Linked DNA regions of Cricetulus griseus. The main gene of each other region encodes a partner of the protein of the gene in region 5 in a complex. Links are inferred from orthologs where the notes say so. Each region holds a gene or a part of one and is shown on either strand. Other genes may lie near its edges. The genes, in order: Ubl5, Lsm5, Lsm7, Lsm3, Sart1, Lsm8 and Lsm6.

The links.
Region 1: the proteins of Sart1 (region 5) and Ubl5 are in contact, whole or in part, in a crystal structure (PDB 4PYU), measured with the Homo sapiens proteins. The link is inferred for Cricetulus griseus from reciprocal best matches to the Homo sapiens genes SART1 and UBL5. Residues at the interface, in NP_005137.1 of Homo sapiens: Ser117, Leu118, Ser119, Ile120, Thr123, Leu126, Arg127, Leu130, Leu132, Lys133, Leu135; in NP_001041706.1 of Homo sapiens: Met1, Glu3, Arg15, Lys17, Cys18, Asn19, Asp21, Asp22, Asp26, Lys29, Leu30, Ala33, Gln34.
Region 2: Sart1 (region 5) and Lsm5 share a complex: the UniProt entries of both Homo sapiens proteins name them as parts of the U4/U6-U5 tri-snRNP complex. The link is inferred for Cricetulus griseus from reciprocal best matches to the Homo sapiens genes SART1 and LSM5.
Region 3: Sart1 (region 5) and Lsm7 share a complex: the UniProt entries of both Homo sapiens proteins name them as parts of the U4/U6-U5 tri-snRNP complex. The link is inferred for Cricetulus griseus from reciprocal best matches to the Homo sapiens genes SART1 and LSM7.
Region 4: Sart1 (region 5) and Lsm3 share a complex: the UniProt entries of both Homo sapiens proteins name them as parts of the U4/U6-U5 tri-snRNP complex. The link is inferred for Cricetulus griseus from reciprocal best matches to the Homo sapiens genes SART1 and LSM3.
Region 6: Sart1 (region 5) and Lsm8 share a complex: the UniProt entries of both Homo sapiens proteins name them as parts of the U4/U6-U5 tri-snRNP complex. The link is inferred for Cricetulus griseus from reciprocal best matches to the Homo sapiens genes SART1 and LSM8.
Region 7: Sart1 (region 5) and Lsm6 share a complex: the UniProt entries of both Homo sapiens proteins name them as parts of the U4/U6-U5 tri-snRNP complex. The link is inferred for Cricetulus griseus from reciprocal best matches to the Homo sapiens genes SART1 and LSM6.

What each region holds. Positions count from the first base shown.
Region 1 is NC_048597.1:133,522,816-133,526,566, forward strand, and holds Ubl5 (ubiquitin-like protein 5), read left to right. Parts: upstream 1-1,428; 5' UTR 1,429-1,584; intron 1,585-1,839; 5' UTR 1,840-1,850; coding exon 1,851-1,906; intron 1,907-2,054; coding exon 2,055-2,138; intron 2,139-2,284; coding exon 2,285-2,322; intron 2,323-3,098; coding exon 3,099-3,142; 3' UTR 3,143-3,251; downstream 3,252-3,751. UniProt on the Homo sapiens protein: Ubiquitin-like protein that plays a role in cell proliferation and sister chromatid cohesion by associating with spliceosomal proteins. Participates thereby in pre-mRNA splicing by maintaining spliceosome integrity.
Region 2 is NC_048601.1:84,604,465-84,608,588, forward strand, and holds the start of Lsm5 (U6 snRNA-associated Sm-like protein LSm5), read left to right. Parts: upstream 1-1,324; 5' UTR 1,325-1,400; coding exon 1,401-1,446; intron 1,447-2,365; coding exon 2,366-2,461; intron 2,462-2,739; coding exon 2,740-2,767; intron 2,768-3,689; coding exon 3,690-3,762; intron 3,763-4,124. UniProt on the Homo sapiens protein: Plays a role in pre-mRNA splicing as component of the U4/U6-U5 tri-snRNP complex that is involved in spliceosome assembly, and as component of the precatalytic spliceosome (spliceosome B complex).
Region 3 is NC_048598.1:101,634,295-101,638,309, reverse strand, and holds the start of Lsm7 (U6 snRNA-associated Sm-like protein LSm7), read left to right. Parts: upstream 1-1,215; 5' UTR 1,216-1,279; coding exon 1,280-1,285; intron 1,286-2,145; coding exon 2,146-2,239; intron 2,240-3,112; coding exon 3,113-3,184; intron 3,185-3,775; coding exon 3,776-3,918; 3' UTR 3,919-4,015. Other genes in the region: Sppl2b (signal peptide peptidase-like 2B), read right to left, coding at 1,074-1,124. UniProt on the Homo sapiens protein: Plays a role in pre-mRNA splicing as component of the U4/U6-U5 tri-snRNP complex that is involved in spliceosome assembly, and as component of the precatalytic spliceosome (spliceosome B complex).
Region 4 is NC_048601.1:52,288,973-52,293,004, reverse strand, and holds the start of Lsm3 (U6 snRNA-associated Sm-like protein LSm3), read left to right. Parts: upstream 1-1,232; 5' UTR 1,233-1,361; coding exon 1,362-1,382; intron 1,383-3,878; coding exon 3,879-3,989; intron 3,990-4,032. Other genes in the region: Xpc (DNA repair protein complementing XP-C cells), read right to left, coding at 1,003-1,096. UniProt on the Homo sapiens protein: Plays a role in pre-mRNA splicing as component of the U4/U6-U5 tri-snRNP complex that is involved in spliceosome assembly, and as component of the precatalytic spliceosome (spliceosome B complex).
Region 5 is NC_048596.1:53,945,599-53,949,863, forward strand, and holds the start of Sart1 (U4/U6.U5 tri-snRNP-associated protein 1), read left to right. Parts: upstream 1-1,465; 5' UTR 1,466-1,541; coding exon 1,542-1,854; intron 1,855-3,996; coding exon 3,997-4,054; intron 4,055-4,265. UniProt on the Homo sapiens protein: Plays a role in mRNA splicing as a component of the U4/U6-U5 tri-snRNP, one of the building blocks of the spliceosome. May also bind to DNA.
Region 6 is NW_023276806.1:207,804,434-207,808,533, forward strand, and holds the start of Lsm8 (LSM8 homolog, U6 small nuclear RNA associated), read right to left. Parts: upstream 2,801-4,100; 5' UTR 2,680-2,800; coding exon 2,649-2,679; intron 1,729-2,648; coding exon 1,688-1,728; intron 1-1,687. UniProt on the Homo sapiens protein: Plays a role in pre-mRNA splicing as component of the U4/U6-U5 tri-snRNP complex that is involved in spliceosome assembly, and as component of the precatalytic spliceosome (spliceosome B complex).
Region 7 is NC_048596.1:154,686,612-154,690,111, reverse strand, and holds part of Lsm6 (U6 snRNA-associated Sm-like protein LSm6), read left to right. Parts: intron 1-2,988; coding exon 2,989-3,102; intron 3,103-3,500. UniProt on the Homo sapiens protein: Plays a role in pre-mRNA splicing as component of the U4/U6-U5 tri-snRNP complex that is involved in spliceosome assembly, and as component of the precatalytic spliceosome (spliceosome B complex).

The DNA.
Region 1 (3,751 bases), on a different chromosome or scaffold from region 5:
GCAAGAGCTAAGCAAGGAGTTGGGTGTGCAGCTCAGTGGGAGAGCCTTTGCCTAACATGCTAGAAGGCCTAGGTTCCATTTCCAACATCAAAGAAAAGAAAGGAAAGAAAAAGAAGAGAATGAAAAGGAAAGTAAGAAACCCCATTTTTTGGTGGTGCACGCCTTTAATCCCAGCACTCGGGAGGCAGAGCAGGCGGATCTCTGTGAGTTCGAGGCAGAGCATGGTCTACAGAGCGAGTGCCAGGATAGGCTCCAAAGCTACGCAGAGAAACCCTACCTCGAAAAACAACAACAACAAAAAAAAAAAAAAAAAAAAAAAAAAAAAAAAGAAAAAAAAGAAACCCCATTTTTCTGGTACGTATGCTTGAGCCTGGGAAGTATTTTCTGAACGGGAACGACGCACCGGGAAGAGGATGGACCAGATCAGAACACTAAGGACGTGAATCAGGACTTCATTCCAGACCGAAAGGTGTAACTGGGGTGAGGCTGAGGGGCCAGGACTGCCAAGCCAGGGAGGCGTGGCCACAAGCCGCAATAAAAAGAAAAAGTAATGCTTTCTGCTGCCTACTCGTAAGGATAAATTTTGTATAAGTGGTATTAGCTAAGCACAAGGCCCTGGTAGATTTTTCTTTTTCTTTTTGAGACAGTCTCTCTACAAAGTTTTGCCTGGAACTCGCTATATAGACCAGGATAGCTTCTAATACACTGGCCTATATAATACCAGCAACTTCCGAGGGTGGACATTAGTACCACAAATTCGAGATCAGCTTGGTCTATATATTGACACCCCATGTCAAGAAAATTAAGCAACTTTTAAAAAATAAATATATGTGTATATCTTACCTTACTGAGTACTGTCTGCTAAGAAGTTATCGTTCAGGAGAGGTGGGAACTGATTGAATTTAGAGAGGGATTCCTTCCCCATCAGCTCTCGCGATTCTGTAATCTGTAACAAGGTGTTCCTCGAAGATTAAAAAAAGAAGAAAAAAAATCGATTTTTTTTTTTTTTGTCCAGGATGGTGTTTCCAACATCTTCGCAGGCAGGACCCCGACAGACACATAGGGTGGTGTGGAGCACGGCCTGCCGCCCGAGACACAGCTTAGCTTTCATCGGCGGCAGTCTGCACCCCTAGGGTCTCGGAAGCAGTCGCTGTAGTCAGAGGGTAACGGCAAGCACAGGGGCCGAGACGGAGCTTTGAATGAACACCGAGAGCGCGGCAGCCAGGGCACCCGCGCGACTCCAGGTCCGCTGGGCAGCCGGGATTCTGCGGTAGGAGGTTTGTTTGGCTTGGGGATGGCAGACGCTTTGGGTCTCTTCCACAACAAAGGGATCGCCAACACTGCTCCGACCGTCGGCTGTAAATCCACTAGGACCGCCGCTCAGTCTCACAGTCTTCCAACCCAGCCTCGGCTCGGCAAACTGCGCCACAGAACCGCGTCTGTGAAAGCCCGGAATCCGGAAGCACCTAACAGCGGATGTTTCCGTTATATCACTTCCGCTTCCTGCTACTAGCCCTAAATCGGGCCAGGGCTCGGCGTTCGAGCTGGGAGTTGTGTCGTCGATAAATTCGAGGGGAATTAGAGGTGAGGGAGCTAAACTGAGAGGCCCGGGATCACGGGGAGCGGCGGGAGGCGAAGCCGGAGGCCGGGGCTGGGCCTGCGGGAGTAAGGGGCGGAGACGCGACTGTCTGGGTCCCCGCCGCTGAGACCCCGGACGGGGCTGCCGGGGATGTGTGTTCGGGTGGTGTGGACAGAGAACTCCACTCGGGAAGGGACTTTGGGCGACCCCAGAGTTCTGACTCCGCTATCTCCCATCATCTCCCCCCCCCCCCGGTGTAGCCGCAGTCACGATGATTGAGGTTGTTTGCAACGACCGTCTCGGAAAGAAAGTCCGCGTCAAGTGCAAGTATCCACCAGGGGGTGACCGGCCGTGGTCTCTGGGGCAGCTGCTGGTGTTAGGCAAATTGTGGTTAAATGGCGTAGATGGGGAGGCCTAATACCGTCTTCCTCGTTCTACCTCCTCCCTCCATTTACCTTAACTCCTTCGTGCCCAGCACCGATGACACCATCGGGGACTTGAAGAAACTGATAGCAGCCCAAACTGGCACCCGCTGGAATAAGATCGTCCTTAAAAAATGGTAAGTGCTGGTGGGGATTAGGCTAGAAGGTTGCGGTTGGGGGAGCGCCTCAGGCAACCCCGATGAGGGCTCAGCTTGCTTTCAAGACAAAAGCCCACCTCAACCCCGCCAAATAAGCTTCTCTCTGAAAGATGTCTGTCCCGTAGGTACACGATTTTTAAGGACCACGTGTCTCTGGGAGATTGTATCCTTTTCCTGACTTTTGTGAAAGAATCCATATACTTGAGTTCTGGTTCTATATTGAAACCTGTAGGGTTGTTTAACTTAAAATGTGGCCTATAGATAGGGACTACTGAGAAAATGGAAAGTATGGCGTTATTTTGTTGATGAGGAGGGTGGTGGAATAGTTTAACTTGGTTCAGAAGGATTTTGACGTTCAGGTTCAAAATATTTATGACTGAACAGCACATGGATATTGGACAGGAAGTGGAGGTGGAGTATACCTCAGATGTGACTAGTGGACAACCAGTATGATTTTTTTTTTTATGGGGGCAGGGGAGGGGTTCTGGGTCTTTTGCTGCAATTACGTTTATGCACCACATGCATGCCTGCTGCTGACTTAGGCCAGAAGGAAGCTTCAGATTCCCTGGAACCGTCGTGTGAGTGCGGGGATTGAACCCAGTTCCTGTGCAAGAGCAGCCATGAGTGCCCTTCAACTGTTGCTCTATGTCTTCAGCCTGAGTATGAACATTTAAGAAAATGTGTTAATTATTGCTGTGTGTGAAGGCCTGGGGCACTTGAGAATCTGACTCTACACCAGGCTTTGATGACAAACAGTTTTGCCTTCTCAGTGATGGTCACTTACATTATTTATAGCTTGAATTCTTAGATCAAAGTGCACATTCTAAAATTGCTTCCTTATTCCAAGGTTGGTTGTCGAGCCACAAGGTTCCATCCAACTGTGAGTGGGTAAAGGGTAGAGTCAGCCCTCAGTGAAAATTCCTTAATACTTGTCTTCAGATGAAATCCATGATGGGATGAACCTGGAGCTTTATTACCAATAGACGGGAATCCTTCTCCTTGACTACCCTGCCTTCCTCTCCCACCCTCATTTGACACTGGTATAGATGCACATTTTTAACAGTTCACATGAATAAAGACTTTGATGCTGCTTTGTTGCTGTCATACTTACATGAAGGTTGTATCCGGAGGGGAGAGCTGGTGTCTGGTGGGTATAGTTCCGTACCCTGTTCCTTGAGGAAGACTAACTGGAGGCTGGGCCTGGTAGTGCACACCTGACATCTCAGCACTTGAGAGATGGAGGCAAAAGGATCAGGTGTGAAGTCATGAGGGAAGAGTAGCCTAGTAGAATGGGACCCGGAGCTCTGCTGTTGCCTCTGGGTCACTGATGGGCAGAGATCCTGTGAGTATTGCCGTCCTCATAAACCATTAACCTGCATAGGGAGGGTAGATATGCTAGCTGGAACAGGGTCTGGCTTCACAAGACTGTGAGTAGGACACCTGCCCCACAGCTGAATTGCTCTAGGGAAGTTTCTTTACCCTCCTAAGCCTCAACAATGGTTTCAGTATCTTGAACCATCTCTACAATGGTTTCAAGACTAGGGTAAAATACAGTCTCCATTGTGAGGTATTAAAAAGCAGGTCCTTCACTA
Region 2 (4,124 bases), on a different chromosome or scaffold from region 5:
TCTTGAAAAACCAAAATAAAAGAATGTATTTGTAATTGCCCCGACACCTAGTAGGTACACGAGATTTATGGAATGGGGTTTGTGGGGAAAAGCCACCACTGGCTTGAAATTGAGAATGGAGTGGAGTTTCCAAGGATCCCTAGAGGCATTGCTTTATCTATTAAACTTCATAGTGCTATATACATACAATTTATTTGTCCTTCTTCTCACTCACTCTTGTAGAAGACTTTTCTGTACATTGCTTTATATACCCAGCGAGCTGCTAATTAAACGGTGTATGAGGGGTGCTTACCAAACACTGTAAAAATGAATGGTGTTGATTATGATCTCTCCTATTCAGATTGTTTAAGTCCCTCAGACACAAATGAGACAACCGAAGCTAAAGAATTTGCCTGCTGCTTTTTTTTCTTTTTAAGTAGGGACAACCCAGGTCTCATGAAGTCATGAATGCTAGGAAAGCACTCTAGTGCTAAGCAAGGTGGTTAAGCTCTCATTAGTTTTTATTTCCTATTTCGTGTCAGGGTCTTACTAAGTTGTCCATGCTTGGCAACTGTGGCCTCCTTCTGTTTCTTAAGCGCTGGGATTGCTGGCCACTCCTCACAGCAGCTTTTTATCTTTTTCCAAAACACAAGTGTGATAGCATGTTTTCCAAATGTGATGACACCAACATACGGAGTGACATCTAGCAGTTACCTGTAAATCAATAAGTGTTAGTAACTGCAAAAGCCTGCAATAAACTAGACTTCTAAAAGGACAAGAAGAAGCCGGGCATTGGTGGTGCACGCCTTTAATCCCAACATTGGGGAGGCAGAGGCAGGCGGATCTCTGTGAGTTCGAAGCCAGTCTGGTCTCCAGAGCGAGTTCCAGGACAGTCCCCAAAACAATACAGAGAAACCCTGCCTCGAAAAACCAGAATAAAATAAAGTAGCAAAAATTAAAAAAAACCTTTGAATACTCGGTATAGAATATTTTTAAAAGATGCTTCGTAAGGGTTTTCAGTACTCTAGGCTTAAAAGTACAGGATTCCTTAAGAAAATGAGTAGTAGTTGAGACAAACGCAGAACGAGTTGGTGATAGCAAATCCTCATTGATTTTATGGCTCTGAAGAAAGATCCAACCTTTTAGAGGAAAACTAGCCGACTCAGAGATCTCGTATGTTGTAGTCTTCAGGCAGATATAGAGGAGACAAACTGTCAAGTTAGCAAAACTTCGGGGGCACGGGATGGTGGCACCGATATAGTGCGGAACTATTCTATCGAGTCTGTCGGTGATCCATTTGGATACCCCGCGATCGCCAGATCTGCCTCCGATTAGTTCCGTCTGAGCCAGTTGTGGGAAAGGGCGGAAGCGCGCTCTTTTAAAGTCTGCGCCCGTAGCCCTATGCCACTTCCGGCGTGGCCATGGCGGCTAACGCGACCACCAACCCGTCTCAGCTCCTGCCGCTAGGTAAAAGTCTCGCCCGGGGCGCGGGCGGGTTGCTGCGGCCCCACGCCCGCGCCGGAGGCTTGCCCCTGGGGCCGCTGCGGAGACCGAGCCCGTTGTCTGTCGGCGGCCGGCGGGGGCCCCACTTGGTGAAGGACGCCCTCGGCCTTGCTTGTGAGCTCGCCGGTTAAGATGTCCCGGTGCCGGCCCAGCTCGCAGTGTGGCCTTTCCGGTCTACACCTTAGGGAGCCCCTGTATTGCATTTGGCGGTGTGAGGAGGGCGCCACGGTCTACAGTGACTCCTAGAAAGAAATCTGGAGACTAGCTCCGTCATTCGTTCGTTCATTCATTCATTCATCCATCCATCAAGCAGTTCCCTCCCCGTGCCAGGGTACTGTTGAATAACGAATTTAAACTACGGCCATTGCTTTCAGATAGCACACTGAAAGACTTCGTGCCGAGCAGTTCTCGGTTGGCCACGGAGATGCTCAGGTTGGTCTCCAAGCACAGAGCTAAAGGCAAGATGAGAGAAGTGACAGGAAGCTGGTGTCGGTCGTGAGGCCTCTCCTCTGTCATGTTTTGGCGCCGGTGAAGTTAGTCAATGTGGCAATGATGGAAAGTTCTTGCAGGGTCCACTCCAGGGTATGTTCATCGGCAGAAACACTGATGAGGAAAAACTAACATGGTTTCCACCTTGTGGTGTAATTGTTTTTCATACATTAACCAAATAGTCAAAATCACAGTCCCGTTAGTTGCAGCAAAAAAGGAGGTAAGCGAAGGCCAAGACAAACATTTGTGCTAATGGCTGAGCGGAGATTTGTGTAAGATGTAGTTATTTAGTGACTGCTTTTTGTTTCTCTTTAATGATACGGAAATAGTAAAGTGAGCACTCGAATGCTTGTTGAACTAATAAGTGGGTAAAACAATCTTTTTCTTTCCACAGAGCTCGTGGACAAGTGTATAGGATCAAGAATTCACATTGTGATGAAGAGTGATAAAGAAATTGTTGGTACACTTCTAGGATTTGATGACTTTGTCAGTATCCTTTTAAAAAGTGTTCATGGAACAGGTTTTTAAAGATGTATTAATATAAGAGCTGTAGACAGATGACATATTTCTGTTTATTACATTAAAAATTATTTATTTTCCAGGAACTTGGTAACATTTTAAGAGGTGTGCTTGCAGAAAGCAGATAGGGTTCTCTCCAACAACAAACCTTTTGAATTTGCACCATTGTGTTGAACATTTTTGCAACCAAACAAAAACATAAACCAGAATAAATTCAACCTTGTTTATTTTCTTAACAACAAATTTCAGATATGGTGTTGGAAGATGTCACAGAGTTGTGAGTAGTATTAAAAATGACAAATAAATGGGGGAGGAGAGGAGGAAATATCTTTTTGAATTAAAGGCAGGTACCCTAGTTCCTTTTCTGTTACTGTGAAGAGACAGCATGGCCAAGGCAGTTTATAAAAGAGAGCGTTTACTGCGTGGGCTTGCTTACAGTTTCAGAGGGTTAGAGTCCACGTTTTTTCATGGTGAGGTGTGTGGAGGCAGGCAGGCAGGCAGGCAGGTGTGGGGCTGGAGCAATAGCTAAGTGATTCTATGTTGAGATAACCATGAGACAAACAGAGAGCCAACTGGTTATAATTTATTCTTTTGAAACCTCAAAGCCCACCGCCACAGTGACACACCTCAGACAAGGCCACTCCTCCTAGCCATTCCCAAACAGTTCTGTCAACGTGAGCCCGTGGAGGCCATTTTCATTTAAACTACAATAGCAGGATTAGTATGATGGATAAAGTATTACCTGTTGGAATTCTTTTAATGCTGACTTATTTACCGGTATTTGTGAGGTTGGGCCAGAAGATTATTATCTTAATGTCATTATTCCTGAATTTCTAAGAAATTAGTGTAAACACGCTTTATAGTGACTTTACATTTACTTCTATATTATATCTTTGTAATATATCTTTATATTTACTTCTGTATTTATGAAGTTTTATATTTACATAACTATTATCTGGTGGGCAGACTGTATTGCTGAAAATTATTGTAATTGTATGAGTTCACATTCATTCATATGTAAGAATAACAGTTTTGATGCTAGGGATTGAACCTAGGGCCTTGTGCTCTGCCACCCAGGTGGTGCTCTGCCACCGAGCTAACCTCTTTACCCCAGGAATAATTTTTAGAGAGGAAAAGCGTTTCCAAAATAATTGCCTTTGAATACTTGTTTATCCTGACTCCATTTTTTATCTATTTAGTGAAATTACACCAGAAGGAAGAAGGATTACAAAATTAGATCAGATTTTACTAAATGGAAATAATATAACGATGGTAAGACATTAAAGCTGTTTTATTTTGAATTTAATTACTTTTATAGGGCAGGGATTACAGAACACTGCTGCTTAGCTCAGTGTTCACGGTCTAGACATGCTGAGGATGGGAAGGGAGCCTTCAGTGATCAGTGCCCCAACGCAGCTATTGAAAGAGCATTGGGCCTTAAGATTCATTTGCTTATTAATCTTTATTACCTTTAGTTCATCAGGAACCATTGTTGAAACTCTTAAGCATCAATTAATGTTGGGATTACTAGCAGATGTTGATGATCTGGGAAATGGGAATTGAAGGATAGGGGAGAGACAGTGGTGGCTTTGGTCCATGAGGAGCACATGGGGAGTTTTAGGTGGTATGATAGT
Region 3 (4,015 bases), on a different chromosome or scaffold from region 5:
GCCTGGTAAAAATGAGGCAGAGAGAGCTGAGGACTGCTGGCAGGGTGGGGAGCCCTGACACACTTTCAAAAGCTCATGCCCAGCCAAGAGCGGGATGTGGGGACAAAAACGTCAAAGGGGGATGTGGGCCACATGGTGGAGAGGCTAGGAACGCCACGCCTGGGTAATGTCTTAACTTCTTAGCCAATCAAGGAAGAGCATGCCAGTTGTGCCAGTGTTGGGAAGGCTGAGGCTCAGTTACAAGTTCAATGCTAGCCTGGGCTATAAAAGGAGATCCTGTCTCAAGATTTTGTAATCTTGAAAAAAAAAAAAAAGTATTTGAAAGAACGATCCAGACCCAGGGTCCATGAGAGAAGATGAATATATAGAATAACGTGCACAGGCCACCCTGTGGGCCATCCGCATTAGAACCCAGCAACTGCCCCGTGTGCCCGAGGCTGCAGCCCTTCACGAACCATTGGGACTGGAGCCTGATGCCACAGAAACAAACAAGAAATCTAACAACTAAGCCAAGTGTTGTGACGCAGGCCTGGCATCCCAGCACTTGGGAGACTAACAGGGTGTTCAGGGCCAGCCTGGGCAACATGGCAAAGTCAAGAGACCATCCTGGGCTGCAGCGCTTGTGGGAGGCCAGCGCGCATTACAGAATGAGTTCAAGGCCAGCATGCGACTGTGTCTCAGCAAGCGACGCTCACCAAACGTCCTGCCTCGGCACCGGGTCGGGGCGCATCCCGCGGCACCCGGAGGCCCCCACGGGTCCCCCGCGTGTTGCATTGACTGACCCAGAGGTGAGGAACCCCTCCTGCCCAAGGTCACGGAGCAGAAGCCGGGATGCAGGGCTGCAGGCACCCGGGGACCCTCCCGAGCCCCTGGGGGAGGAGGACGGGGACTCGCCCCATTCTGCAGAAGAGGAAACTGAGGCTGGCAGGGGCGGCGGCGGCAGTTGGGGCCCCGGGGCGCAGGGCGGGCTAAGCCCGGCCCGAAGTCTGCGGTGGCGACAGCGAGGGGACGACAGCAAGGTCTCGGCCACGGTCACGAGTGGTGCAGCCGAGCCGACCAGCCGTGGCGCTCACCTGGGCCGCGAGCAGCAGCAGCAGGGCCGCGGCGAGCCGCGCCGCCGCCATGTCCGCCTGTCCTGCCGCAGCTCTAGGCGGAAGGTTTCCCGGCAACGCCTTCGGGACCCCGAGACGCGCACGCGCCGGCCCTGCGCGTGCGCGGGCCCGCCCCTCGCTAGAAGTGGGCGGTGCGGAGCCTGCGCAGAGCAGCGCAGGTCGGCAAGATGGCGGTGAGCATTGCTGGGTCGCGGAGAGAGCGGGGTTCCCCCCGAGGGACTGTAGACGCGAAAACTGGGGGCACAGGAGGACCAAAGAGAGGGGGGCGGACACCCGAAGACGGATAGGGAGACAGGGACGCGGAGGAATAGGAATCACGTGGGACTGCACACCGGGCGTCTTGAGGAAGCAGACCGGGAACCTGGGGAAGCAGACCCGGAACCTGGGGAAGCAGACCCGGAACCTGGGGAAGCAGACCCGGAACCTGGGGAAGCAGGCGGGGAACCTGGGGGTGCAGACCCGGAACCTGGGGGTGCAGACCGAGGAACCTGGGGGTGCAGACCGGGGAACCTGGGGGTGCAGACCGGGAACCTGGGGGTGCAGACCGGGGAACCTGGGGGTGCAGACCGGGGAACCTGGAGGGTGCAGACCGGGGAACCTGGGGGTGCAGACCGGGGAACCTGGGGGTGCAGACCGGGGAACCTGGGGGTGCAGACCGGGGAACCTGGGGGTGCAGACCGGGGAACCTGGGGGTGCAGACCGGGGAACCTGGGGGTGCAGACCGGAGGGGGAACCTGGGGGTGCAGACCGGGAACCTGGGGGTGCAGACCCCTGGGGGTGCAACCTGGGGGTGCAGACCGGGAACCTGGGGGTGCAGGCAGGGGACATGAGGATATACACAGGGGGCATGGGAATAGAGAGAGATGCAGACTCAGCGACCTGGAATTTAGTTGGGGGAACATGGGAGATGGAAATGAGTTTGCAGACAGTTATGAGGGCTGCAGGATGGTCAAAAGGAGTCGCTGGGTGCCGGGTCCAGGCAACAAGGATATGGGAAGACTGGGTCTCACTCCTCAGCTCCTCCACTCTCCAGCAGGACAAAGAGAAAAAGAAGAAAGAAAGCATCTTGGACCTATCTAAGTACATTGACAAGACCATCCGAGTGAAGTTCCAGGGTGGCCGGGAAGGTGAGTGGATGCAACAGGGCCCCTAAGAATCGGGGTTGCGACAAGCAAGGGAAAGCCTCACAAGGCAGGCATTTTAACTCTTAACAAAGGCTAAGCTTGGGCCATCCTGTTACTTGAGAGGTACCAGTATGTCTCAATTGTGGATGGGGAAAATGAGTCCCAGGGAAAGAAAGCCAGGTGCGGTAGCACCCACACCATTATTGCTGGAGCCTGAAGGAAGAGGCCAGAAAGCTGGGAGGACATAGAAGAAGGAGGCAACAGGGGGATGGAAGGAAGGCATCCCTTCAAGAGCCTGGAGGTAGCAGGGACCCAGGAGGTTTCCAGTAGCAGGATCAGGGAAAGTTCCAGCCAGTCTGAGCTATGTGGCAAGACCTGTCTCCAAAAATCAACCAGGGCTAGGCTATAGCTTGGTGGATAGAGGGTTGGTTTAGTGTGCATAAAGCCCTGGATTTTATCTCCAACACCATGGAAACCAGGTGTGGTTGTACAAGCCTGCTATTCCAACCCTAGGAAGGTAAACACAGAATCGGGAAGTTCAAGATTATTTTCAGGTTGCCTAGTGAGTCTGAGGCCAGCCTGGGCAAATGATACTCTCTCATACAAATGGGAGGGGAAAAAAGGCTATTTTGTGTTACATGGAAACTATACAGAATTCAGTTTGGGGGATGATAACATTTTATTGACACTTGGTCCACCATGAACTCACTATCTATGGCCCCTTCCACACTTGTAGGAAGAGAGTTGGGGGTCATAGTCAGCAGGCCACCACATAGGGACATGTCTCCCCATGAGTTCTGTAGTGATAACTGTCCCCATGCCTGGGTCTGTAGTGGGAGGACAATAACATCATCCTTACCCATCTCTCCCTTCAAGCCAGCGGGATCCTGAAAGGGTTTGACCCACTGCTCAACCTGGTGCTGGATGGAACCATTGAGTACATGAGAGGTGAGCTGGCTGTGGTTGTCCAGGGATGCCACCAGGCCCTGTTTCTTCTCCACACCTGTGCAGTCACATTGCCGCAGGTGGTGCTGACCTAGGGTGCAGGTCCCTCCCTGATCACCAGAAAGGTGACAGGCCCACCATGATGGCCCCAGGCTTGAGATTTCAGCTCCTTCCCCTCAGCCCTCCTGGGGATGGCAGAAATAGTAGCTACTGTCCTCTGTCTGGATTGTTTGCCTGTGTCACCAGCTCCAGGACGCATAGGATCTCAGCTTATTCCAGAATAGTACCTGTAATGCCCAAAGAGTGTCCCTTCCTCTGCACCCACAACAATTACTTTCTAATTGCTCCCTGTCTCCACCTCTGGTCCATCCTCCCCGGGGCCTCTGCTTCCCCTGCAGACCACTCCTTGGGGTGAGTATCTGCCCTGGGTTCTTGTAGTATCCATGCCTACAGTCGGCTCTGAGACCCCAGGGCCTGGGTGTGTCAGTCCCCAAAAGAAAGATGGGACAGCCCTCTGAGGTCCTGGTTGTGGAGTGCTGGGTGGAAAGGACATGTCTTCAGTTCCTCTTGCCTGTCACCCCCTATTCCCACCAGACCCTGATGACCAGTACAAGCTGACAGAAGACACACGGCAGCTGGGGCTTGTGGTGTGCCGAGGCACCTCAGTGGTGCTCATCTGCCCACAGGATGGCATGGAGGCTATCCCCAACCCCTTCGTGCAGCAGCAGGATGCCTAGGTGGAGAGCGATCTGGCCCCAAGGACCTTCCTTCCTGTGTGAACTTTGTTTGGTGTTTTACTTTTGGATTTTGTTTCTGGTTTTTTATTTTGTTTTT
Region 4 (4,032 bases), on a different chromosome or scaffold from region 5:
TGAAGCTTACATTGTACTCAAACAATCAGAAATGAAGATGACTGTAGAATGATAGGTGAATAGGAACATCACTGTGATTCTGTGGTGGAGGATACCTAGGAATGACTACTTTAAGATGACCGTGGAATGTCTTAGACCTCAAGTAGAGAAGAAATTAGACCCAGCAACAGCGACGGAGAACATTCTAAGGCAAAGAAACATGGAAGGCCAAGCCTCCAGATAAATAAACAGTATATTCAAAGAAGAGAAAGGCAGTCACCAAGAGCCATCTGTAATCCCTGTGATCATGAGGATGAGACAGGAAAAACCCAGAGCTCTAGGCCGGGCTGCTGTTTAAAATAAGAATATCTGGAAGAGAGACATGCTAAGTGAGGTAGATGCTATACACGGAGAGCACACATCTAAGAAGGTTTTAAGTAAGAAGACCAAGGCATATGAAGTTTTGTTGTCGTTCTACATCACTTGGCTGCTGGATGGAGATCTGATGTAGAGGGGAACTCACTCAACTAGAAAACGACAGGAACAGGATACCAGCTATGAAATTAAGAGAATTAGGCACATATTTCAGTGACTCCGAAGCTGAACTGGACCTCCTGACGAACTAGCAGTTAAGAAAAGGCGTGTTTTAACAGGTGGGTGAAGGAGTGATTTATTGAGATGGGAATATTTTAAGCTTCTCCTTGGTTCAAGACCAAGGTAAGAAGCGCATCGCAAACCTGGGGCCGGAATTACAGTGGATGCAACTTGGAGAGAGATTCTCACACTACAAGGTCTCCCTCTGTCCTAGTTTTGGTGTCTCTCTGACACCGGGCAACAGGGAAGCTTTTTCCTGATCGGCCCTCAACACTTGCCAAGAGGCTGGACTTGGTCCTAGGGGTTACGGTGGGGTCAGGGCTGATGGTAGAGGCCCTCGGGGCGCCGCGCATCCGGCCGTGGAGACCTTCCGCCCCGCTGCCCGCCCCAGCCTCCGCCACCATCGCCTTGCGCGCCGCAGCCTCTCACCCGCCTCGCTCTCCTCCGGCCGGGCTGCTTTGTTGTTCTCGGCTTCTCGGCCGCGCCCCCGCCGCCTTCCTCCCGCAGGGCGCTTCGGAGCCATGCTGCCCGGCAGCGACACTCCGGGCTACCGCAGCCAGCCGGCCGCAGACACTCTCCGCGTGCTCGCCCCGCCCCGAGGCGGGCCATGCCTGGGCCGCGCCCCCTGACCAGGTTGGGACCACGCCCTCCGGAGAAACCCCTCCCCCTGCAAACTACAGGGGCGCAAAGGGACAAAAATAAAGTAGGTCTACTTCCCGAGAGTGGAACCCTTTGCGTTTCTGAGTGCCTGTTCTCGCGAGAGGTGGAAAGGGCGCAGCGTTTGAAACATGGCGGACGACGTAGATCAGGTAAGTTTGTCCGGAGGCGCTCTTAGAGGAAGCGCTTGCGCTTCCAGGTCGGGTTCGCGTTTTCCACGCTCGCTGAGAAGCGGCCCGTCTCTCTTTGTCCCGAGGAACCACGGCCTTCCGTAGCCGCGCCGGCTCCTGAAACTTCCGCAGGCCTAGAGTTTTCTCAACCCGCCTATCTGCCCATCACGCTCGGCATCGGCTTTTATCTGTAAAATGCAAACGGCTGTCGACACCAGACAGAAAGCGTGAGGTAGTGGTGGACACCAGCTTTGTAATACGTGCAAGCGCCTGGTGCGCAGGCAGCGGCTCACTTGGAGTGCAGTAGGAGGGAGGGAGGGAGGTAGAGAACCTGGTGGAGATGTAGTCTGGAGAAAGCAAGCCAAGATCGGGTGCACACAGGATCACAGGCTGCCCTCTTCACCTGCTCTTCCCCCTATTCCTTAGCTACCTGTGGAGTTCCGAAATGATTGCACTCCCTCACACGCACACGCACCCACACACGGGTATTTAAAATAACAGAGCATGTTATTTTAAATATGTATTTCTTTATCTGAGACATTTCTTCCATAACTAGAACGTAAGTTACTTAATAGGGGCATTGGGGCGGGGGTGGCTGGAGAGGTTGCTTTAGGAGTTAAGAGCACTTGTTGCTTTTGTAGAAGACCATGGTTGGGATCCAGCACCCACATGTTGGCTTAACAGCACCCCAACGCATCTTAACTCCAGTTGCAGGAGGGGATCCTCTGCCCCCTTCTGGCCTCTGCTACCGAGCACTGTGTCAGCGTGTGGTGCACATGCATACAGGCAAACTGCTCACATACACGATAAAAGTAAACCTTTAAAATAAAGGGGGGTTTTCTGTGTTTGCTTTTCTTTCCTAGGTTTAGGACAGTGCTGTTAGCACTCAGCAGGTTATTAGTTGAGGGAACGAACCCAATGTTCAGGGGCAGCTTCTTTGAAAAGGCAGAATGTAAAGCTTACAGGGTGAAAAGGATTGACAGTGGCCATCCTAGACTGAAGAGGGCTGTCGTGGGAACAGATTTCATTGTTTTGCAGCTATGTATTTATATGCCCCTCTCCATACTAGAGTGAGCTCCATTGAGGGGATGCGGCTTCTGTATTGTTGTAATCCAGTGGTTGGTTGTCTGATTTCTTAACAAAAGCCTGCTGAGCTAAGGTGGGAGGAGGAAAGCACCAGTTGAGATCCGGGGTTGGGGGTGTTCTGGGAGGGTTGTTTGTTTCCTGTCATCAGCCTCATATCTACACAGCCTACAATTTTCAGCTTTCACTGACCCCAGGTACTCACTGGAGAAGCTTGCTGAATGGTCTTACTAATTCTTGATGGCTGGAACCACCTCTTTCATATAGCTGAATCCAGGTCATCCCAGTTCTAACCTTTGAAACCTGTTCCAACAGTTCTTGAAGAGTAATTCTGATTTATCATTCCTCTGAAATGACTGACCAAGAATGCATTCTTAAATCTTGAAGCAAGCAAGAGATTATATTAAATATAAGAAATTACAGGTGCTGGGAGTGGGGCTGGTAAGATAACAGGTAAAAATGCTTGCAGTTTGTAAGCGTGACAACCTGAGTTCAATTCCTGGGACACACAGAGGAAGGAGAGAACTTTATAAAGTTGTCTTCTGACAGCTACTTGAACCCCATCACACACACACACACACACACACACACACACACACACACACACACACACTCTTAAAAGTTCCAGACTCGGTTCATACCTGCCCAATCCCAGCATCTGAGAGGCAAAGACTTGCTGCTCATCAAAGGCTGTCATGGGCATGCCTCTTAAAAAAAAAAAAAAAGGTAATTATTTAGAAGTGTTTCCTTTTTACTTCAGATAGACCCTTTAGTCCTTATAAGATCTCTGAGGCAAAGATGTGGTCTCCCCAGTTTGCAAATGAGGAGTCTGAAACAAGAAATGGCATGATTTTTAATCCCAGTTCAGAAGAGCCAGGTCAGAACCCAGAATTGAACAAAGGCTTCCTAATGACTCAGTTCTTTTAACTTCTATACTATACTACTCGGTAGGTAGGTTCATCTTGCCAGCCAATTAGCACCCTAAACTTAACCTGCGCTGTACTGACTTCAAATTCTGTCAGATCTTTTTAGTAGTGTGTGAATAGGTATTGCAGGTATGTTTTTCAAATGATTGAATTATACAAAAGATAAAGCTAAGGTTCCTAAGTGGTACTCTAACACTTTGGATTTTTTGGAAGTTCAGTCATCATTTTGCTACTTAACTCCTCTCCACATAATGTTTTTCTCCTCTTTTACATAGCATCGAGGCACCGTTCTAAGCTTTCATATGTCATTTAAAATAATAGTATTGGGGAGACACTATTTTCTGCATTTGGCAAATTAGACTAAGGTATAAACGGGTTATGTGACTAGCCCTTGGTTTCACTGCTTAACAGTGATTGAAACACCACTCTGCCTCTGGTGGTCCATTACTAAGTGTGTTTCCTTCATCAGCAACAGACTACCAATACCGTAGAGGAGCCCCTGGATCTCATCAGGCTCAGTTTGGATGAGCGAATTTATGTGAAGATGAGAAACGACCGAGAGCTTCGAGGCAGATTACATGTAAGTCTTTTAAATTATCTCAAAACCAGATGTTTCCCTATCA
Region 5 (4,265 bases):
GGCCTCCATCTGTGTTTTTAAGGAGCCACCGGTCATTTGGAGTAGAAATGGAGCACTCTTTTCAGAACCCCCCAAAGATAGAAGCCACCAGCCATCAGTCTGGAAGACTCTCCTCCCCGACCCTGAACCCAGCACAGTCCCTGAGATAAAAATTAAATGCTTATGGCAAGTATGGTGTGAGACTTCTGACGGGAGTTGGTTATGCATTGTGGGGCGGGGGGGGGGCAGTGGTAAGTGGGTGGCCTGGACTTAGCTACTTCCCACATATTCTGGGAACCCTGGCTGCACCCCTTCCTCGGCAAACACATGCTGTCTCTGCTACTGAGTGGGACACCTAGAAATGCTAGTGAACAGGTCCACCTCTGAAGACTCAGTAGTAGAGCAGAGCCGTAAAGGAGCAGGAAAACCATACCAAAACACGCCGAGGTGTGCTACACAGGAAACCCACAGAGGAGCAACTAGTAGCAGAAGGGAGTGTGTGAATCCTTAACTTTAAAGCTCATCTCCTCAAGACCAAAACAAAACAACCAAACCAAACAAGCAATCAACCAAATAAAAAAGCCCAGGAAGAGAGAAAAGGCTGGGAAAGCAAGGCATTGTGGCTTGTGCCTGTAATCCCGGACTGAGGCCACATAGTTAACGGGACAGAGGAAGGAAAGAGAGAGGGGGGGGGAGGGAGGGAGGGAAGAAGGAAGGGAGGAAGGAAGGCAGGCAGGCAAAAGAAAAACGGATCTGCCCAATTTGCACTTGAGCCTGGCTTGGGCGAGCATGCCTGAAATCCCGGCCACTCGCAGCACACGGGAGGCTGAACCAGAGGGTTCGAGACCTGCCAGGGCTACGTAACAAGCACTAGGCCAACCAGACCTATATAGACCCTATCTTAAAAAGAAAATTAGAAACAAAAACAGCACTCAATTTCACGGGGTTCACAGGCACAAATTCATAGTGTTCCGTAGCAGTCCAGAGCTCAGGTTAAAAAGACCCAATCTACCAATCCAGGGAAAGTGGGCGACGGTAGCATTCGCTGGCAACAGTGGTTTATTGGGGTTGCAAGTCTGGGGCTTTGCAGCTGGTTTCTTCAAGAAGAAAACATGCGGTATCTTCCAACCCCGGACGGATCCCCGGCCCCGGGGAGCCTACGAGAAGGACAATCACTGGAGGAGGGGACGCCCACGAAGAGGCTTGAGGCACAGAGCGCCACGAGGCTCTCGGAGTGGAAAGGTCAGGGAAAGAGCTCCCAGCTCCGCAGACGGTGGCTTTTAGCACGATTCCAAAGCTGTTACAGTTCTAACCCGGGAGAGCCAATGCCGACCCCGTAGCCTCTACAGGTGCACATGCGCAGAGCCAGTCCCCGGGAGCCGGGAATGCGCAGTCTCAACCCGTCCCTCCCATGAGCCTCTGGAGGTTCCCAGGCCGGCCCCGGAAGCAGCCGCTCTTAGTTTCCGGCAACAGCGCAGCGGCGGCCGCACGACCCGGAAGTATTCCCATTTTGCGTCGTCTGGGCTCGGGTGGCGGCCCGGCTCCAGACGGACGCACTAGTCATGGGGTCGTCAAAGAAGCACCGCGGGGAGAAGGAGGCGGCGGGGACGACGGCGGCGGCCGGTACCGGGGGCGCCACCGAGCAGCCGCCGCGGCATCGAGAGCACAAGAAACACAAACATCGCAGCAGCGGCGGCGGCAGCAGCGGCGGCGAACGACGGAAGCGGAGCCGCGAGCGTGGGGGCGAGCGCGGGAGCGGGAGGCGCGGGGCCGAAGCCGAGGCCCGCGGCGGCGCGCACGGTCGCGAACGAAGTCAAGCGGAGCCCTCGGAGCGGCGCGTGAAGCGAGAGAAACGCGATGACGGCTACGAGGCCGGTGAGGGCGGGGCGGGGGCGGGGCAGGGGCCTGGGGTGCGCGGGACGGAGGGTGCAGGGTGACCGCCAGGGCCTGTGCCTCTCGGGCTGAAGACTTGCTCCGGCTGTTGGGGACTAAAGACTGACTCCCCATGTTAAGCTTCGGAAGGACCGGGGTCTTGCGTTTCCCCTTCCCGTCTGGCACTTGACAGTAAATGCGGTGGGTGGGCGAAAGGAGGAGGTGCGAGCATGCACAGACAGAGGCAAGAGAAACCTGACAGTAGGTGGAATCGTCATGAAGCAGTAAGATACGCTTGGGTCTGAACACCAAGGACCCTGTGCTGTAAGCTCTGTTGAGAAATTTGGGCTTTGTGATGAAGACGGTAGGGAGTCGAGGATTTGAGTAGGGAAGTGGGTTGATTTACTTCATATGTTAAGATCACACTGGATTGAGCTGGGCATTGGTGGCGCACGCCTTTAATGCCAGCACTCGGGAGGCAGAGGCAGGCAGATCTCTGTGAGTTCGAGGCCAGCCTGGTCTCCAGAGTGACTGCCAGGATAGGCTCCAAAGCTACACAGAGAAACCCTGTCTCGAAAAACAAAAAAAAAAAAAAAAAAAAAAAAGGATCTCTGGGTTGAGAGCTTGTCAAAAATAGGACTACAGACCCTGAGATTAGGAGGGAGGTCAACCCAACCAGGTGAGGACTAACAGTGAGTATGCATGTTTCTCCATGCAGTAGGGTGGAGAGACTGGAAAGATTGAATAGGTGTTTAGGAAGTGCAATGAACAAAATTTAGTGCGTGGGCTAAGGGGATGGGAGGGATGAGGAACAGGGAATGCCTCCTGGAGTTTTGACCTTACCCGCCTGGTGAATGGTTTTCATCTGTTGAAGTTGGTGTTTAGAAGACTAGCAGATTTGAGGCAAGGGAGAATGACCCAGTTTGGGAGAGCTTTGGTCAGTGTGTATGGGAAAACCTACAGTTTAAGTGGGATAGAGTGATTTGAGGCTAGTGTGTATTCAGGAATCCAAAGTGCCCTAGAGTGTGTGGAGTGAGAACTAGGATCAGAAATAGAACTTAGTAAATGCCAATAGCTCAATTGTGGGCAGAGAAACATACTTAAAAAATAAAGAGTAGCCAAATGGCAAGAACACTACAGTTGGGTCATAGGATCTGTACAAAGAGATGATTGTTGAAAAGACAGAGTGGTTAAGAGCATCACACACCACAGGGCATTATGCAGAACCAGAACTTGTAAACAAAGGGTTGTTTTCATTTTATGCATTTGAGTGTTTTACCTCCATATGTGAATATGCACTTGGTGCATTCCTAGTGCCTGTGGAGGTTCAGAGGAGGACATTGGATCCCCTGAAAATGAGTTAGGTGGTTGTGAGATGCCATATAGATTATGGGAACCAAACCTGGGTCCTCTGTAAGAACAGCAAGTGCTCTTATCCACTGAGACATCTCCCCAGCCCCTAAATTGAAACTTTTTTTTTTTTTTTAATAATCTGCTAATTGGAAAAAGGGAGACTTGAGACTTGAGAGTTCATATAGAAAATGGGGTCCAGAGCCTAGGTGGAGGAGGAAGGGTTTAAAGAGCAGTGAGTAGTGTGTGACAGGGGACTTGGGCATCCTGGTGGCATCTTCCTCTGTATAGTGTTTATTGAAGTTCTCTCCTGTTTGTGGGGTGGATAGATCAGGTCCAGAGTGCTTCCTTTCCTATGTCCATAGCATCTGGCATGGAACACACACTAGTAAGTATTCCATACACTGCTGTGGGCAGAAAGTGCCAGAAATGACAAGCAGTGCTGTGCCGTTCTAGGCAGAGTTTTAATTCTGGTCAGTAATTGAGCAGGGCTTCATGGAGGAGATGATACTTGCTCTTTTGATAGAACTTTATGAGAACAAGAGCAGAAGGGACTGTGGAGGCTGAAGGTAGAGTGTGGAGATTTGGAGTGGCACAGTGAGGGATGCAGAAAAAAGATAAGGGCCTGGGTAGCAGCTGCAGGGAACCCTGGGGGAAGAAGGCTGCTGTTTTCTGGTGTCATCTACCCAGGTGCTGGTGGGGGCCCTTGTCTTCGACCTTGCAACTGAAGACCATGATGTTGCTTCTTGGTCCCATGTTCATGGGTTCCTTAAGCCGTGCTCCTTATTGTTCTAGCTGCCAGCTCCAAAACTAGCTCTGGAGATGCCTCGTCACTTAGCATCGAGGAGACCAAGTGAGTAGCCCTTATGCTGTTTTGATTTTCCTCTGAGACTGGTTGCACCTGGGGCTGTTACCTATAGAAACTTTTTCAATCTAAATGAAGCCAGTTAGAATTGGAATGGCCAGATGAGTCATACTGCCAACCATAGGAGCTACGTGGAAGAAACTGAGACCCAAGAGGAAGGATAGTCTTCCCCAGTCAGGAAGCCTGTTCTGGAAGCCTG
Region 6 (4,100 bases), on a different chromosome or scaffold from region 5:
AATATAGTAGACATATGTAGAACCAAAATAATCAAGAACTTAACTTGAAGGAAATACTCAGGAAAAATTTTGTGGCTATAGCAAAATGTAATATAATGAATGCTGTTTAAGTTTCTGAAGAAATAGCTTCTTTTAGATTTGGCTGGTTAATCTCTTGGGTACACCTTTAAACCCCCCTGTTCTGAAAAACCATAATTGTATAGAATCTGAATGAAATAAATAGAAACTTGGAATGTAGAAATTGGGAAGAAAAACAAATTAGACTATTTATTATAGCACTTGGCAAATGGTAGTTATCATAAACCCCTATAAAGGTGCTCTCATCTTCATTATATATGCAATTATTTTATCAGGTACGATAAAGACAGAACTACTGAGTGTCAATACAAAGTTTCTGTTTAGCTTTTCTTCTATAAGCATTTTCTAACAGAAATATAAGAAATTTAAACCTGAGGATTTCAAAAATCAGTTATTTGTAAATTATCTGATAAATGCAACAGACTTCTTTCAATGTTTAAACAAACATATTCCTAATTTCACATTCCAAATTGCCTACTGTTGACAAATTTAGAGTGTAAACTCACCACCACTAAACAAAAAACCTTAAGACACCTGTTTCCTTTATGGGTTTTGGAATAAAACTCAATTTATAACACACTTGTTATACTGAATCTCTGTGAAAGTAACTTGGTTTTTTTTTTTTTTTTTTTTTTTTCTAAGCCTGGTTCCTAATCTACAATATAAGTGATAATTCTTCTTGAGATTCCTTGCAGACTAAATAACACAAAATTCCTAGCATATGATAAGCACTGCAATTACTATGGCAGTCTATCACTTTGACTGGTGTTGCTCACTAAAGAGCAAGAAGAATCAAAGGGATTCAGAAGAAGATAAGGAGGCTGAAGAAATGGTTAAAAGTATATACTATTCCTCCAAAGGACCTAGTGTGGCTCACAATGGCCTGTAACTCCAGCTCCAGTGGATCTGACAACTCTTCTGGGCTCCTTGTGTAGTGTACCACCACACATGGCAGACACTAACAAACAGACATACACTCAAACCTAACTAAAAATAAATCTTTAAGAAAACAAAATCACGAATGGGAAAACATGGGATTAAATTACAGCCGTGAAAGAAATATTGCAGAGACAGTAGATGAGGCAATGGTCCCAAAGATCATACCCCAGTGAAGTCACAGCTAACTTAGTTTCTGAAACCACTCTCACAATATTTGAAGAACAATGAAATCACTGAATACACATTTCTCAGATTGGATCTCCCCATTGTTAAGCAACTTACAAGAGCATATGCATAATTTGTAAATCCTTAAAGAGCTCTAAATGAAAACAAACAAAAGGAATTGAGGTTAAAAAAAAAAAAAAGAATGCAAGAAGAAAATTAGTCGGCACAGCTCTGCATTCCAGATCAGAAGACTTCAAGGTTTATTAGGGAAGCTGTATTGACAGCCAAGAGATAAAAGTCTGTCAAAACAGCTGGATCTCCAGCATACATGCGGGCAGAACACTGTGTACTTTAAATTTAAACATTCTTAAAAAAATAAAACAGCTGGATCATAAGAACACTAGAATCGAGGTTATACCGTGGTACCTCAGCATTAGATTAGAAACGTAACTTCAAATTTACAATCAATAAGCCTACAAAGAAGCAGACTGAAAATGCCACTCACCACAATCATTCTCCCATCAGAAGTGATAACGGCGACGGTTCCTGAGAACTGCGTCAAGGAAAGTATTTCTTAGAGATTGCAGAGTGAAAACTTTCAGCCTGGTAAGGAAATGGTCTCAATTACTTAAAAAAGAAAAAAGTGGCGGTATGAAGGTTCGACACAGCCGCTGCTCACGAGGTACAAAACTGAAGGTTTGAAACTTGTTTCAATTCTATCCTGAAAACAGTAAATCTAATGGGAGAAGGGTAGAGTCTGACATCTGACCCTGGGTTTAAAACAGCAATGGGTTCCAATCCCTAACACTGAGAGATACAATCCCTTCCTTTCTCAGACCAATGTCTTCACCTCTGAAATAAAAACTGGACGCGTAACTATCAATGTTGCACCGTTGTGGCGCGTTAAGCCCCCTCCCCTAGTCCAAGACCTGGTCATAATTAATGCCACCAAGTACAAACAACCCTGGATTCCTTAAAAGCTCTCTGCTTTGAACGCCTGAGTTTCTTGTCTGTACCAGATGTGCTCGGTGCACGGTTTCTGTCCTGACTTTGCAGCAGCGCTTGTAATTTAAAATCTCACCTGGGATCTTAAGAGCTCCTTGCCTGTCACTGAAGCCCAACACGATTCCAGGCTTTCCTTCTAAGGGTATCGCATGGACACTTCCAGGGGGGGCCCGAAATTCACCTTGGAGAACCAAGCACCTTTCTATGCATGCGAGCCTCGAGCCAACCGCAAGCCCTGAGAAAACCGGTCCAACTTATTCCCGACGCTGGCCCGCACAAGCCCTAAGGGATCTGCAGCAATCCAGCCAAAGGCTCCTTGCAGGGAAGCTGTGCCGGGTGAAAAGGGCCCGGGTCTGTCCGGATGACCCCACCGCCGGTCCCGAACCCCGAGTCCTCCCCGCCGCCCCGGGTCTCCGCCCCCGCCCCGCCCCGCCGCGGCCTGGGCAGCCGCCCGAGGATACGGTTGATGTAGTTCTCCAAGGCAGACGTCATGCTGCTGGGCCCGGAGGTCCCGGGAACAGGAGACAACCCGGCAACAAGGAGACGAGACACGGCCGGGCCGCCAGAAGCACGTACCGGTTCCCGCCGCCCGCCCGCCCGCCGGTGAGCACAGATACCGCGAGACCAACGAGTACCTAGCAGCCAATCGGCACTCGCAAGGAGCCGACCAAACCGGAAGCCGGGCGGGGACTGACTCGCGCGCGTGCGCAGCGTGCATCCGCCGCGCTTCCGGGTGCCGGTCGGTAGAGGGAGACGGACAAAGGCGGGGACGGGCGGAAGTGTGGGCTGGATGCAGGCGCTGGGAGGCTCGCCAGCGGAGGGGCGGGAGCCGCGGTCGTGTGGGAAGATCGGCTGTGCCGGAGACGCCCTAGATGAGATGTTTGCTCGTCCTTGGGAGGAAGGGAGCTCTAGCCTTCTCCAGCGCGAGCCAAAAAAAAGTTCCGAAAGACAAATGGCGCGGTGCAAAGCGAACGTCTTTGTAGCCCGCACGAGGTGCATTTCCAGGGAGAGCCCAGCTATCAAAAGTGCTCGTGCATTCTGCTTTTGGCTCTTCAGGTGTCACGAAGCAGCCTTAAGGAAACGAACTCCAGAGAGGGAAAGGTGTGCGCGATAGATGGTCACTTTGCACGGCTAAATCGAGGCTTAGCTTTTCTTGGGGATGAAAGTTGTAATTAAGAAAGTCTACATTGCCACTCTGAAGGGACCGATTAGAGGAAAGCGTAAACTAAGCACCAGGCTGGGTTCTAATTCTATCCCTGATAATTGATGTCCCTGTTGTAAAGTCACTTAAACTCCTCTTGATCTGATTTCACTTAGATGCTGTACAAATGTGTTAGTCAGTCAACCGTACATAACCAATATTTTAAAATTTTAGTGTGTGTTGAAAGGGGAAAATTAATAAAATCTAAAACCCAGACTCCAAAGCCCAAAAAGAAAACTCAGTTCCCAAAAAGCAGTCCAGCAGACAAGGTTAAACAAAGGGCCTCAGGACTCAAGCCCTTAGACCAGATATCACACCCTAGAATGGCACTCACATTCCTCTGGTCCAAAGAGGATCAGATAGTTATCAATTGTAGAAGTCCCCAGCCCAGGAGACTATTAACAAACCCATTTCCTCTGCAGTATCCTGCTTAATTAAACCTTGCATGAAGCATAACAATCTTTGTCCTGTCCTGTGTAACTACTGAAGTTATGTAATCTTGGGGCTTCCAGCCCTACAATTTTCCCTTTTAAAAACACCCCTCAGTCGAAAGTGGGTACTCCTTTGTTCCCAAACGAATGGGGTCCTTGCTGCAGCTGGTGTCCTTGAGTCAATAAAGAAACCTTTATCCTTGCATTTGGTGAGTCGTCTTCTTGTTGGCAGGTTCTTTGGGGATTCCGAAATCTGGGCACAACAGTGTGTGTGTGTGTGT
Region 7 (3,500 bases), about 100 Mb from region 5:
TCGAATTAAGATATGCCAGACTACTTAAACTATTTGACAGAGAGTGGTAACTAATTCATTAGCAAAGTTTTGTAGCTGTTTCTTTGTCTCTTTCCTAAATTTCCTTAAGGTTTTTCCCTTGTCCGAATATTTACATGTAACTGAGCATATGTTAATCACTTCAATACATACATTGTCACTTTGTTTTCCATAAACTGAGATTTTATGGTTATCCTCACTGGGGAAGTGAGAAGCCAGGATGTACACAAGCCTGACTGGAAAGCTTTGTTAAGAAATCACTGGAGGGGCTGGAGAGCTGCTTCAGCAGCTAAAAGTACTGACTGCTCTTGCAGAGGGCACAGGTTCAGTTCCCAGCACCCATGGAGGATCTCACAACCCTCTAACTCCAGTTTCAAGGGATCCAATACCTCTTTGGCCATCAGACAACGCACACACAGACAACCACTCACATGTATAAAACTAAAATAAACATTTAGTAACTCCACTGGATCCCAGTGCTGGGGAGCTCCAAGTGCCCACATTGGGCAGTTCCCAGCCTCCTGTAATTCCACCTCCAGGAGAACCAACACCTCTGGCCTCCAAGGATACCTGTACTCATATGTACCTGCACATACACACACACACACATATCACTAAAAGTAAGATGAGATCTTTAAAAACAAAGGGGAAAATCACTTTGTTCTTGGTTTCTTGACAGTAATAGACAATATTGCCAATGTTTTTGATTGTATGCTTGCTTGCTTTTTGAATCAGTATCTTGTCATGCTATCCAGCCATCTTCAGGCAAGTTCTCTTTCTGCCTTGGTTTCCTCCCAATCCTGTGGTGATGTTTTGTTTATGATCTAACAAATAAAATAAAGCTTGCCTGGAGATCACAGTGCAAAGCTAGCCACACTAGTCAACCATAGAGACTAGGTGGGGGTGGTGCACGCCTTTAATCCCAGCACTAGAGAGGAATATAAGTCCAGTGGAGACAGGAGTGCAGTGTATTCAGTTTGCAGTCACACCAAGTACAGGATGGCCCCAGCCTTGCTAGAGGTGAGAACTTTTCTAATCTTCAGCTTGAACCCCAATATCTGTCTCTGGATTTTTATTATTCGTGCTACACATGCTGAGGGTTAGAATTATGGTTGTGTGTGCCACCTTGCCCAGTTTTCAGCCATAAACTTTGGACACATTTTGTGTGGTACTTTCTCAGCATCCACTTCTTGAAGAGGATGTTAGCTGTCTTAGCCTTTTCTTTAGGGAAAGTGTTTCTGTTTATAAAAGTAATAATACATGTTTTAATTTGTTGTTTATACCTTCTGGGCAAGTAATGGGAAGCAGTGTTTCACTGTATTCCCCTGTGTGGAGACAATCCCCTGACCACAGAACAGGACAGCCACCTATGCAGCCTTTTTTCTCTTACTACAATAACCAATAATGTTCTAACAAGAAAAGAACGCGCCTGGATGTGTGTGCACACCTTTAATTTAGTCCCAGCACTTGGAGCAGAGGGGGTGGGTCCCTGTGAGTTGGTCTCCATAGTGGAAGCCTGAGAACAGAAGGAAAAGGAAGGGAAGAGGAAAAGACCCAGTGTTCTGTGACAGTTCTTTAGCTTGTTATTTCTCTTCTTGATCTTGGAGAAGAGGAAGAGCTACAACTTTAACACCCTGAGCAGGTTTTTGTTTTGTGTTAGTTTTTGCAGCTTGGACAATACACACGCTAGGCAAATGCCCTACAGCTGAGCAAAACCTCCTTGTTTATCTTTTAACTTTTATGAGATCAGATATTTTTACTAACAGTGAGTAAAAGTGGCATTATGTTTTGAATTACCGTTTTGGCTAATTCCATATCATATCCTAGAATTTCTTCCTAGTCTGTGAATGTGCTTTAAGTGTAACATAGTAGGGCAGAAGCAAACAATAAAACCGTGTCTCGAGCTTCCTTTGGCTAAGAAGTAATTGTTGTTGATAGTTGACAACAGTCTAGTCTGATTGTTTGAATTCTGCTCTGCTAATGTCTTGTGCTCTGATTACATACACACAGTTTTGAAAAGAAACCTCTGTTTAGAGGATAATGGGGGCAGAAGCGGAGAGTGAGGAGCATATTAATGAAGTTAAGATTTTAAATGGGACTATTGACTTACTTAATTGAATTGAATCTGTAGTGTGTTTTTTATTCATACAAGTATCACTTTAGATTACAGGCTGAGAATTAGAAGCTTCCTGGCTTCGTCTTTTGAAAAAACGTCATCTGGTCAGATTTTGGAAATATATTCCATCTCCACACAATTAATGAGTCACCCGAGCTGTTTTCCTTGAAAGCTCTCTGGAATGTTTGTAGCCGTTTTTCTCTATTAGTTTTGATTTTAAAAATAGTCTAACTCTGACAGAACAGAATGCAATGTGTCGCAATGCAATATGTTGCTCTCTGTTCTCAAGCTGCTCTTCGATGGAGTCGTAGCTTTGAGCTGGGCTTTCAGGGGCACCTGCTGTCTATTATCTTAACAGATTGTGGAGACTTCCTCTTAACCCAGGGCACATTCATCTGCTGCAGGAGATATTGTGCAAGAGTGAGATAAATCTGCCAGATCCGTATTTCACTTAGTGGCTAAAGTAACAAATGTCACTGGGTGGAGGCTCATTTATCCATGTGTAGTTGCTATGTCTGCCCCTAGCTTCCAAGAAGGACATTTTGGTTGGAATAATCTAATGCTTATACTTTTGTGAAGGCTTCCAAAGTTGCTGTGGTGATCACACATACCAGGAGGGGAGTGACAGTTGGCTGCCTGTCTTGGAGTTGTGGCTGCAGTGACTCCTCTCATGCTATGCCCATGCAGCCTTCATTCAGATCGGCACAGAGTAAAGACTCCTTTTGTGTTTACGTCTATTGAGTTTTGTTTACAGTGTGAATTTTTATCCTATGTGTTTGAAGGCTAATGAATAAAGTGATTGTCAGTTCTAAGATATACCCTGTAATTTTCAATTCTTTCTTTGTTTTCTCCAGGGGTCCTGGCCTGCCTGGATGGCTACATGAACATAGCACTGGAACAGACGGAAGAGTATGTAAATGGACAGCTGAAGAATAAGTACGGCGATGCATTCATCCGAGGAAACAATGGTAACAGCCTCCTGTAATAGAGCACTGGGGAGTTTCTAGATGGTGTTAAAGTTCCCTTGTATTCCTGTTTGTTTGTTTGTTGTACTTGTATTTTAGATCTTTGTATAAACCAGTTCTATTTGTGTGTGGAAAGAGAATTTGCTATGGATTGGAAGTAGAAATTCTCTTTCTCACTTTACTGATGAAGAGCTGGGAAATATTGCTTTACTGACCAGGACCCTGTTATCTTTTTGTTTGGTTTTGTTTTTCAAGACAGGGTTTCCCTAGAACTCACTTTGGCCTCAAACTCACAGAGATCCACCTGCCTCTGCCTCTGCCTCCCGAGTATGGGAATTAAAGGCCAGTGCCATCACCGCCTGACAACCCTGTTATCTTAAATATCATTTATTCTATTCTCC